Linked DNA regions of Caenorhabditis elegans. The protein of the gene in region 2 purifies or fractionates together with the protein of the main gene of each other region. This does not show direct contact. Each region holds a gene or a part of one and is shown on either strand. Other genes may lie near its edges. The genes, in order: cutl-20 and agxt-1.

Region 1 (6,315 bases), on a different chromosome or scaffold from region 2:
AACCTGTTCTGAAAAATTTTCAAAAAAAAAAGTTATGGCCGTTCAAAGTTTTGGAAAAATGGTCGATTTTTAGCTAAAATCTCAAATTTTGGCAACTTTTCAATGTCACAGCTGGAGCTTAATTTTAGAAACAACACGTGATAAATTGCAAAAACATGCATAAAAATATGTTCCAACCGCTCCGACACTAAAAAGGTGCCAAAATTTGAGATTTTAGCTAAAAATCGACCATTTTTCCAAAACTTTGAGAGGTCATAATAACTTTTTTTTTTGAAAAATTTTCAGAACGTCTTAATACGAAATTTGGTAGTTTTTGGACCATTTTGGGTCTAAAAAGGCAAAGTATCAAATTTTGGTACTCCACTCACTATCGAAGCAGAGCCCCAAAAGTTTGACCGACCCAATTTTGTAAGTTTCTTCGATGCACCATGATGATTTTGAGCAAAATGTTAGTTTTTTTTTTTGAAAAACTGGTGGCAGGACCCAGTTTTCGGCAGTTTTAAATGTCGATGCACTATGTTTTTTTTAATGAAACCGTACCTCCCCAGAAGTCTGCAAAGAGCATCCGTGTGAGTCCGACAGTGGTAGCTCGGATATCCCGTCATTCGCCCAACACCTTCCGATTCGTCCATTCTGATCATCGCTCATTTCAACTGTGTACGTCTACAATTTACAAATAGTTTCTTTTGATTTATGGAGTTCCTGACTTACAACTCTATCACCAACTGCTAACGGACGTTGTAGCTGCTTTGAATCCAAACTGTCGCCGTCTAGAACACGAACTCGGTAGTCGACTGTCTGAAACATTATATGGGTCTCGCAGCGATAATTTTGAAGCCTTACCTTATTATCCGATAGGCTGCTTGCTGTGGTGGCATCCGAGTTGATAGTGATTCCACCAAATGATACGGTCACCTGAGATTCTTTAGGAACAGGGGCAGCAGGTATACAGGTCAGAAGGAATCGTTTGTCGGTTTCTGCATTGAATCTTAAAAAAAAACGATGAGGAAGTTATTTTTTATTTTTGTCTATTTTTGTTCGTATATGGTTTTTTAGGTACCATGGAATAAAAAAAATGCTCCTAAAAAAATTAGTTTCAATAACAAATATTACTGGTACAGAGAGTGTAGATAGTTAGAGAGTGACTGACATCCGGGACCCAATGGGGCGGGGCGCGCGGAAGAGACGATTCGTGTCGATTTACGAAATGATGACAACGAGGAAAATTTCGTAAATCGACACAAATCGTCTCTTCCGCGCGCCCCGCCCCATTGGGTCCCGGATGTCTGTCACTCTCTAACTATCTACACTCTCTGTACCGGTAATACCATAATATGATCATCATTCTACATTAGAAAAAAATCGATCTGAAATCACAGATTTTTGGCCTCCCTCATAAATTGAAATGGAAGAGGTTGCCAAACTAGGCCATTTTGGCTCGGCCATATCTGGGGTAGATTTACGGCGCGTTGCGTGTCGCGTCGCGGCTCGATTTTAGTTGTAAAACTAAATGTAGTTGGCCGTGTGGAGTACACGACTTTCCCACGCGTTGCCCGACGGGCGATTGCCAATGGAGCGCGAGAATCTCAATGAGGAAGGCCATGGCGCGCCAGAACCCCATGATTTTTAGGGTATTTCGAGGTTGGCAAATATTCTGGAATCTTTTTGCAAAATGTTTTTTTTTTTTTGAAAAAAAAATTCCAAAAAATATCCTGATCGATGAAAATTGTTGGGTGAAAAAAGTTGCAGATTTTAGGAGAAATTTGAGAAATTAGAAAAATTAGAAATTAGGAGAAATCAGAAAATTTCCAAACTGCTTTCAGAATACTTGTATATATTGAAATAGCCTAAAAATCATGAAATTTTTCAAAAATCTCTAAACTAGCCTCCAAATTTGGTAGTAAAAATTCACTGGCAGCAACTTCAGAGCGAGATTTTTCTAGTTTAAAGTGCTCGTATGTCGCTGAATTTTTTGTAGGTACCTATTTGAAAGCTCTTTTTTCAAAATTCAAAAATTTAATTTTCAAGTTTAAATTTTGAGTAGCGCCAGTGGGGGATTTTGTCTAAATACACTTATTATGATCCAAAACTACCTGAGTAATTGCCACTTTTTGACAGTAAATAAAACATTTACAAAAAAAAAAAGTTTTATTATGATATTCGGTCACTTTGGGACCAAATGAATGGTTTTTCATAATTTCCCCACTGGCGCTACTCCACCTTTAAAACTGAGCGGAAATACTTTCCTTGTGAGCATAGCGGCAAAAAACCTAGTACCACATGGCAAAAAAAAACCCACTCATTGTTAGCCATGACAACTTCGATCTCATTCTCCAAATTGCCTTCTCCGTTCTCCTTGGTCGAGCAGCCAGTCAGCGGAATCTAAGCAAATAATGCCCAAAAATTCAATACATTCAATAGGCAAACCTTCAACTGATATTTGGTGTCCGATTGAAGCGTGCCATTTGCATAGATACACTTTGGATGGCCCGCGCGACTTTGTATCGTGCCACGGAAGTTTTCGTCAAACTTGATTTTCAATAGGAAATCTGTCTGCAATATTGAAGACGTTTTTTTCCTTTTGGGTGGTGACCTTCAAGGTTTTGGCCTGGGTTTTTAATCTTCCATTAAATGCCCTTCAAATTCGCTTTTTCGAGAGTTTAAGAGAGTTTCTAGGCCGAGGAACTTCTTGCAGCCAAATTTCTAAACTATTGTGTTTTTGCCAAAAACAATGAAACATTTTAGGTCATTTGTGACGTCATATTTTTTCCATGCAACTTTTTATTGGCTCCACACATCTTCCAAAAAGCCTAAGCCTGAGCCTAATCCAATGTCTAAGCTTAAGCCTAAGGTTCAGCCTAAGCCTACGCCTAAGCCCAAACCAAAGCCTAAGCCTAAGCCTAAGCTCAAGCCTAAGCCTAAGCCTAAAAAAAACCGGAAAATCCTAAGCCTAAATAGCGTCAGTAGCAAGCTAACGCTCGCCACTGACGCCAAACCTAAGTCTCGGCTTAAGCCAAAGCCTAAGCCTAAGCCTAAACCCATGATTAAGCCCAATCCTAAGCCTACGCCTAAGCTTGAACCTAAGCCTAAGCCTAAGCCTAAGCCTAAACCCAAGCCTAAAATTTCTAGGCCACCACTAATATTTTCAAAACTCGATTCTCAAATACTTCATTTTTTCAGGATATGAAAGTAGGACAGAAATGGGCAGGGTATATGGTATGGAGCAAATATCACAAGATGGCAGAAACATAGATACGGGGTGGGAGTGTTGGACTAGGTGACTTTTCTAGGCCATCCCTACCTTATCACACGCAATAGAAGTGTCCACAATGGCCACCGATCGAATCAGCGGTGGCAGCACCACAACCACCGACCAAATGATCCAGTGCAGAATCATAAATTTGTGGAGGGAAAAATCGATAACAGTAGTGAGGGTAATAGTAGTAATAATACAAATATATATGGAAAAATGAATACAAAAAGATGTGTGCGCTGGTTGGGGTGGTGGCGTAAGAATACAGGTGGGTGGGGGGTATAATTGGAGCGTGGCCGAGGAGGAGAATCGCAAAAAAAAGAAGGAAAGAAAGAGGATAGTAATGACATGTTACGGTAGAAGGACAACTACCTAATTATATGAAAGAGGGGGGGGGGGCGACGAGAAGAGGAAAAAGTCTTACGCAATTTGCTACTCGACTTTCAATTTCTGCTAGAAATCGAAAAAAAAATAGGAAACAAATTCCGACTCTATTCGATATCATCACTTCCGGGGCACGGCACAGGTCGGATCAGATTCAACGACGTCTCGCGATCCCGACCCTCTGATCTTACGGCCATCCCATTGTTCACATGATAGTCGATGAGCTCGGAGATGTTGCTGAACGTGCGATCGCGGGTTCGGACTCTCTGGAATTTTGAGAGGTTTGAAGGTTTGGCGGGGGGGGGGGGGGAGGGTCTTACGTTGTGATTGTCCAGTAGGATGAGATGTTTGTGCTCGTTTTCAGCGGTTCGGCCACTCAGCACGTACTTGCCGGGCGTGTGGTCGCTTTGTCTGCAAGGAACTGGACAAGTTTGAGCGGCCGACAGCTTGCGGGTCTTTTTTTAGAGAAGGGGGACTGTGAGGTGTCCGCTGCTTCAGACAATCTTAGCATCATGCAAACCTTGCATCTTTTGTATTTCAGGAAAAAAAACGCAGAATTTTTTTTGAACAAAAATTTCAGCCTAAAACAAAAATCTAAAAAAATTTTGGGAGGATGAACTTATTATACCAAATTTTTCCCTGGTCTTTCAAGAATTATTTAAAGTCCCGTGGCTTCTGAACATATTATCAAACAAATTACAGATATGAAATGTGACTGAAGCTTTAAGTCAGAAATATATAAAAAAAGGATTTTTCATACTATTTTTTCAGTCAAATTTGATTTTTTTAGACTTTCAGATTTTTCTACGAAGTCTGTTAAAATAGGCTTATATTAAAAAGCTATCCGATTTACTATTAGTAAAAAATTATAGCGACCGACATCTCGCAGGTTGTTAAAGAAAGGTGCATTGACCGGCTCACGCAACTTTGGCAGTTTATATCTCGGCTGGTTTTGGTTTTATTTAAAAAATTTCAATTGACGAAATATTTATCACTTTTTCTACTAAAAGTTTGCAGTTGAACACTTTTTGCTAGCAGCGATATTAACCGAGATATTAGCGGAAAAAGTTACATGAGAAACATGGTGCATCGACAAGAAATATCTCACAAAACTTTGGCAGGTTATATCTCGGCTGGTTGTGGTTTTATTAAAAAATTGTTAATTAACAAAATGTTTATCCTTTTTTCTACTACAACTTTGCAGTTCAACACTTTTTGCTAGCAGCGATATAAACTGAGATATGATTGGAAAAAGTTACATGAGAAACATGGTGCATCGACAAGAAATATCTCACAAAACTTTGGCAGGTTATATCTCGGCTGGTTGTGGTTTTATTGAAAAATTGTTAATTGACAAAATATTTATCCTTTTTTCTTCTACAACTTTGCAGATGAACACTTTTTGCTAGCAGCGATATAAACCGAGATATGATTGGAAAAAGTTACATGGAAGACATGATGCATTGATCAGCTATCATAGCTCATATTTTACTTATCTCAGGTTTTACCAAAAAATTGCCAATTATTAAAACATTAGCCTTTTTCTTCGAAAATCAAATTTTGCCCGAATTGCCGAAAATATAGATTTGATATTTTTTTGTAGATTTAGGAGCCTAAACATTTTTTAATTTTTTAAGTATTGACCGTTTGCTTTTAAAAATGACTAATCGAATACTGAAAACACAGTTAACTTTTTTTTCAATTTTCGAATTATAATTAGGTTTGAAAATTGCCGAAAATGTCGGCATTCAGTTGGAATTTTGGCAATTGCCGAAAATTTCCGATTCCCACGCGCCCCTGGTGTGAACCTAGTGAGCATGAAGCCAAACGTTTTAGAAATTCAGCAAAATTCTAGCTTTTTTCTATAAAAAATCTAAAAAACCTTACCGAACCAAAAAATCGCCTTCCGTCTTCAACAAAGCCTGTGCATCCTCTCTGGATAAATTTCCATGATACCAAACTTTCCCCACAACATCCTCAGTTACAGTAGGTGCTCGGCAATTCGACACAAATGACTGTCGATGCAGGGAACTTCGATGTCTCATCGGCGGCGCCGGCACCGTAAATCCATCGTTAGAAGTTGAAGCATTCGCCTGTGCATCAAAAGTGTTCACATTGATCGCAGTGGTAAGGACGTCGATGAGCTTGTGCACATCCTCGATGAACACCACGTGGCATCGACGATCCGTTCCATCCTTGTTTTTTGCAATGTAGCCGAACATTAGCTCCGTGTCCGTACCCTTTTGGCCTTGGGCTCCGAATGAGAAGAATGAGAAGGGATGACGTTGAATTAGACGACTTTGTTTTATGATTTTGATCATTTTCGAGGAAATGTTGATGTCTACGGGGAAGTTTTCTTTTTTCACTTCACCGATTACCTGAAAATAAGGATGGTTTACCTGGGCTTTTTCATCGACCCGTGAAGTGTCGGCTGCAATAATTTTAGTCGAAATTAGTGATAATAACTTTTCTATGAATAGCGGCTGACATCATTTAGCGCGATTTTTGATCGACCTGTAAGATGTCGGTTGCTTTAGTACATTCTATAGTGGCAGGCTTTTGGCTGAATTTTACTGGATATATAAGCTATCAAAATTTGAGCATGTCGATGCACCATGTAATTATCTCAGTTTATTTCGCTGCTATCAAAAAGTGTTAAAATGCAAAGTTGTAGTAGA
Region 2 (6,315 bases):
AAAATTAAAACAAGTTACGGTTTTCAAACTTCAAATTGGTGGATTTTCGAATTTACCTCCGTTCCATTTGTCATCATTTTTCCAGCAACATCTTTCCAGTCAACACCCTCCGGTACTTTCACAGTAGTCAAACATGGCAATCTCAATTTCTCATCCACTACAAATGGTTCCAATCCATGCTTTTTCAGAGTAGCATACAACACTTGAGCATTATCTTTATGTCTTTGGATTGATTCATCAATTCCTTCTTTTGCAATTGCAGAAAGTGCTGCACGAAGAGCATATACAGTGGAGATTGGAGCAGTGTGGTGATATCTGAAATTTTTCAATAAATTTCATCATTTCATAGTTTTTTCCAACCTTTTCAATTCTCCATCACAACCCCAATAGTTGCCCAATTCGATGGCATCAAAGTAGAACGAGGCGACGCGTTGTTTTCGGTTCCGGATTTTTTCCCTAAAAATGAAGAGGAATGCAACTATATGTGTTTTGTTTCTTATTCTTACATGGCTCGATCGGAGAATGAGATAGGCGCAAGTCCTGGTGGAGCGTTGAGAACTTTCTGGGTTGCCGAATAGACACAATCAACTTTCAGATCATCTGCTGCAAATGGAGTTCCACCGAGGGACGCCACCTGAAAATGAAAACTTTGATCATTAAACATCTATTTTCAATTTTGAGACTCGTTCGGCAAATTTCAATTTTACTACATTAAAAAACACCTTAAACTTTTCAGAAACAAAACCGTTAATTTTTGAAACATTGTAAGATTTATAAATAAATGGTGAGGATCGAGAAAGTTAAAAAAAACCACAAACCGTATCAACAAGGAACAGAGCACCATGCTCTCTGCAAGCATCTCCAATTGTTTCCAATGGTTGAGCAACTCCCGTTGAACTATCTCCCTGACAGACAAAAACCAAATTTGGTTTGTAATCAGCAATTGCCTTTCTGATATCCTCAACTGGAACTGCTTGCCCCTGCGGAGCAGTAATCTTCTTAACTTCGATTCCCATTCTATCAATTTTTAATTTGTAACAAGAATATTGATTTTAAAAACCTATTAGCCAAATCAGCAGCTCTTTGTCCCCAAAGTCCAATTTCTACTACAAGGAATTTGTCCCCGGGCTCGAGAAGATTAACCATCGCGCATTCCATTCCAGAATGACCTGAATATTAGATTTGATATTGAGAAAGTTGATATATGCACACTAACCAGTTCCACTGACAGCAAACGTATACTTATTGTCGGTTTTGAAGACATACTGAAGACCCAGACGAACATCTGCCATAATCTGAAATTAAAGCTTTATGAATTAGTTTTCGATTTACTATTTTTCCAACAAAACATAAAAAGATACCTGAACAAATTCTGGATGCAAGTGTCCTAACAAATTGCGAGATTGGGTCTCAGCAATCGAATCAGCCATGTTCGATGGTCCTGGTCCAAAAAGTTGCCGCGGTGGGACAACCATATCTTGCAGAAGAGCTTTTGGTGGAGCACGAGACGACATTGATGACTGGAAAAAAAGTAAAATACATAAATACTCGAAGAACATGGTAATCGATTTGGAAGTGATAATTTGAGAATATAATAACTAAAAGGTCGTTCAACACGTGGTTCTCAAAACAAATGTTATTAAAAACAAAACATTAACGAAAAACTGATCTTAAATTTAACTAAAATGTTTTCCATTTCGCAGTACTGACATGGAACTAATATGAAATGCGCTCTATTTGCATGTAGAATGGAGTAGAGACACAGAGAAACCAATTGGTCAAGAGGAGATTGAACGGTGTGTCCAAATGGTCAAGAATTGGTTTGATGTCTAGGGGAGAAGGGTTGAAGGGTCGAATGCCAAACGGCATACTAGATGGTTAGAAATTTTCCATAAATCAAAGTGGGTTTTTTTTTCACCAAATACTGTAAAAATCAAGTACATGATTTTAGAGTTTGAACTCGAAAGACATAATTTTCATGCTGTTAGATAATTTTTTTTAAGGAAAAAACCTTCAAAAACTTTTTTTAATGAACAATGGCATATAAATATAAAATAATTGCAGTAACTAAAAAGATTGTATCAATGAACAGTTTCATCAATGATAACACATATGTTGATGTATGATGACAATAAACTCTCAGAGGCGGTTCCAATTTGTGTACTCAATAAACCTATTATTTTTGAACCAATTGAACTCACCTTAATTCCAAATCCAAAAATCGAGACTGAAGGTCTTAGAAATCGCGTTGAAATCATATCTTCGAAATTAAATCAATTGAGGAAGAATATTGAGGTAGAGAAGAAAACTTGAGGAGGTTGTCCTGCAGGCGGCAAATATCTCTGTGACTCCTCAAAGTACATTGTTCTTTCATTTTCACTGACTGACTGACTGACTGAGGGGCTATTTTATCACAATGTATAAATGACCAGTCGATGGTATAAATGATAACGAGAAGACACCCAGAGATCGGTCAATTTTTAGAGAAGAGTTCAAAGAAACACTTGAAAGTGCACTGGGGAAAACCTCGTGGTTATTTTATAGTTTATGGAAATTGAGTGGAAAACAACACTTTTTTGCAATTTGGTTTGAGCATAATTTTTATGGATAGTTCATTGGCACATTTCCGTTAATCTAGAAAATAACGTTTCAAGATTTAGGAGATCATCCGAAAAAAACTAGTGGAATTTTTTAAATACACAGTTTAAAAATCAGTTAAAATTTTAATAAAGTGCGAACAATAAGCTATAATGGGAACTAAAGTGGTCTAATCAATGACGTGGAATTAGTCAGATGGCTACAAAAAAACATTAAAACATTTTTCAAAATTGTCTACCAAATAATGAAACTAGAAAATTTAAGGACTACCAACTTATCTTACTCAAAACAATACAAATCGAGAAAGATTACCAACTTCAAGAGAGTTTAATTTGAACTTTACCTCGAACAACGAGCAGATCCAGAGAAGTTTAGACTTCGGAATAAATTTTTTTTCTAGTTTCATTTCCATGAAAATAGCATTTCACGTCTACAGAAATTGATACGATGAATAAATTTAGAAATTAATATTTAAAAGTTCATTGGTTTGTGTTAACTTTGGAAAAATAATAAAGCTTTGAGATATTAACTTCTGAACATTTTCAAATTTAGCTTCTACATCTTATTCCTTGAATTTCGCCTAGCTTCGTCTGAAATCTCCTCACATTTTTCTTTACCCAAATCTATAAATGAGTTTTTCAGCCAATTCACTTGTATGCCTGGAGATACCTTGAGAATTCGGAAAGTACTGATTCGTGAAGAACACTTTCCAGATCACACGAGTTTATTGCACATTTTGAAATGTTTTGAACAATTGCACATTTTATTGATAAAAATAAGAAAACTGCTCAGGTTTTTCGAAATCGAGTTGGATTCAATTACAGGTCAACTCAAATTTGTGATGTCTCGTGATCTTTGAAGCTCTCCGGTTTCAGTGTCTGTTTTTGCTGTGAACACTATCTTTCTCTATCTTTTTTTTCTTCAGCTTCATCCTTTGAGCTTTTTCGTCTTCATTTCTTCATCTCCTCCCTCGCTTTTAACTTCTCACACTGGATCACAAGCGTGCCCTTCGATCCCGATCCTCTTGGCCGAATATCTTTACACACCGACTTGATGTCTGCGTCTCACCAATCATTTTGAATGTTTCGAGAGGATAGAGATAGTTGCTCATCGCCCGGGAGTCACAGCTGCCTCTTCCTGCTTCTCCTCCACCTCCTCTACATTCCAAAGCAAAAAGAGTTTGTATTATTGAAGAATCATGTTGTTTCTGCATCATTCTAGATCACTCGTCATATCTAACCACACTTTCAAACTTTCTTGCCCAACGCAAACCATTTTGAAAATGTGTTTCATTTGTTTGCCGAACAAAAATGCATCTAAAGAGCTGCCCCTACCTCTTGATGGATCATGCGAAAAAAAGGCGGGACGTTCAAACTGTTGACTCTTTTCTTTTTTCGTTTATCTTATCTCTCTCTCGTGTTGCTCTTTGTCTCATCTTATTGTAAATTGATTTTCGAAAAATTTCAGATATTCTAATCACATTTTCCAACATTTCAATGGTCGCTGCCACAGAAATGGATGGAGAATCTATAGTTGATATTAAAGTAAGGCATAATTGTAATGATAAAAAACGAGATTTAGAAATTTAAGTTTTTGATTGTGAAAATGAGTAATGAGTAATGAAATTAGGCATTGGAAAATATACTAAATTTTTGCAGTAGTTGCCTACTTAAAACGGCTTTCACACCAAAATTTCTTCAGAAAAGATTTTATAGAATTCGTTTTGTTTTCCAGCATGATCAAATTGAAGATGACGAGACAGAAGAAAAAGAACCTCCTGTAATGAAGTTGGATTTCGAAAAACTATTCAAAATGGCAGAAGATCCAGATCTTGAGGAATTGCTAAGATCACCATTGGATCAGGCTCTAATCAATTTAGAGTAAGATTTATTAATTAAAAAATCAAAATTGATTTTTCGACATTTTGTAAAAAAGGAAATCGTTCATACCATAAAATTTTCAGAGACGGAACTGAAATTCAAAAGCTCACATCAATTCGCACATTTCCTGACATTCTGGACACCTCCGACGGAGAAAAGTGCCTTCTAAAAATGCTACCAGCAATTCAAAAATGTTTGAAAATTGAAAAATCAAACCTAGACCTTCACTGTGAAGCTGCAGTTGTCTATAAGTCAATTATTCAAAATGAGGACCTCGTGAAAAAATTTCAGTGAGTATTAAAACATTCCACTACTTTAAAATAACAAGCTTTCTAGGGGAATCGTTGATCTTCTACTCGAGAATATTCTTCAAAATATTCAAAATCAAAAAGAGCATCGTAAGTATTTTCCAAGTATCGTATGTACATGTTTTTCCACCTTTCCCCTTCTATCCTCTATCCTAACCATTTCCAGACACTCAGGAAAAGGAAAAAATTGTTATAAAAGCTGGCAGTAGCATCAACAATCAAATGCATCATTGTATGTATTCTCAACTAACAATTTATTTGTTTTTAATAATACCTTTACCTTTTTACCTAATACTCTTTTGAATTACCATTTTAGACATTGACAAAACTATAAAAATTATAACATTAACAACTAAAAAAAACTTGCGCACTAAATAAATTATGTGTAAATTTTAAATTCATATTTTTCAGTGAGTGCCGCTGCTTGGTTAGAAACAATTGTTGAAGTTGCAGACAAATTGTCACTAAGCTCAATCAAATTATATGTAAGCATAAATATTAGATATCCCCTTCATTTAATTTTCAGGTGGTTCCTGTAATTCAAACACAAGCAGAACCTGTTCAGAGGGTACAAAGACGAATTATTGCCACTAAGATTATTCACAAGTTGGCATTGTTTTTACCTCCGAACGAGTGAGTTTGTTATTTGAAATTGTTTCATTTCGCTCTCATAATAGTCCTAACCTACCGGCTTTCTAAAATATATTTAACTTACAAAAAATGTAACTAGGCAATGAACGAATTAAAACATTTTAAGAATAAGAAAAGAACTGTGCCCAATTGTTACCACCTTGTGCAAAGATGCCAATTCAAATGTGAGAGTAGCAGTTGCTCAACGACTTTTTGTCATTGCAAATGCTCTTAAGTAAGTTGTTGGGGTTTTTTGTTTTAGTGTAAAATCATTTAACTTTCAGAAACTCGCACGATGTTGTGTCCTGTCTTTTGCCTTCATATGTACATTTATTAAATGATGAAGAAATGAATGTGAGAGAAGCTGCAATGAATAGTTTGACTGATGCATTCTCCTTGTTCACAAGAGGTTTTGTCAGAAAATAATCATTTCAATTATAATTCAAATTCAAATTCAGATGCACGAAAGCACACACTCTTCTCTGTTATCAAAAAGTTAACCGAAGAGGCGCTTGAGAAAAAGAATGAAGGTCTCGCAGTGATATCGAACAACTTTGGAAAATGGTCATGGGAGCTCAATGAGCTTCTCGATCAACTTGACAAATCATGGGTTCTGAATACATACTGCAAAATGGTGCAAATATCAGACGAACTATGTGAAGGCCCACAAAAGAATATTCGTAACGTATTGAAGAAGACGTGTTGTTTCAATTATCCATGTATGCTGACTATGTTCAAAAAACACGTGGATCGATTACTTCCATTTTTAGAGATGTTCTGTACAGATCATGGTGAGTTATTTGTCCGTGTGGTCGGAGTGTCATTACCCAATTAATATAATGAATATGCTGTCTTTTTATTTTTTGCAATAAAATTAAAAATAACAATTTTCAGATGAA

Evidence for each region.
Region 1: the proteins of agxt-1 (region 2) and cutl-20 fractionate together in Caenorhabditis elegans (co-fractionation; one large-scale study listed by BioGRID). This does not show direct contact.

What each region holds. Positions count from the first base shown.
Region 1 is NC_003279.8:965,936-972,250, forward strand, and holds the start of cutl-20 (ZP domain-containing protein), read right to left. Parts: upstream 3,523-6,315; 5' UTR 3,398-3,522; coding exon 3,302-3,397; exon of another isoform or gene 3,153-3,301; intron 2,554-3,152; coding exon 2,428-2,553; exon of another isoform or gene 2,383-2,427; coding exon 2,300-2,382; intron 989-2,299; coding exon 844-988; intron 799-843; coding exon 712-798; intron 664-711; coding exon 541-663; intron 1-540. Other genes in the region: shc-1 (SHC-transforming protein homolog 1), read right to left, coding at 3,745-3,903, 3,958-4,048, 5,525-6,015.
Region 2 is NC_003280.10:8,842,266-8,848,580, reverse strand, and holds the start of agxt-1 (Alanine--glyoxylate aminotransferase), read right to left. Parts: upstream 2,984-6,315; 5' UTR 2,942-2,983; intron 2,352-2,941; 5' UTR 2,259-2,351; coding exon 2,202-2,258; intron 1,521-2,201; coding exon 1,362-1,520; intron 1,296-1,361; coding exon 1,217-1,295; intron 1,170-1,216; coding exon 1,061-1,169; intron 1,018-1,060; coding exon 819-1,017; intron 635-818; coding exon 507-634; intron 457-506; coding exon 361-456; intron 316-360; coding exon 57-315; intron 1-56. Other genes in the region: F46C5.6 (Serine/threonine-protein phosphatase 4 regulatory subunit 4), read left to right, coding at 4,095-4,142, 4,333-4,478, 4,562-4,768, 4,815-4,876, 4,953-5,018, 5,198-5,271, 5,313-5,419, 5,544-5,651 and 3 more.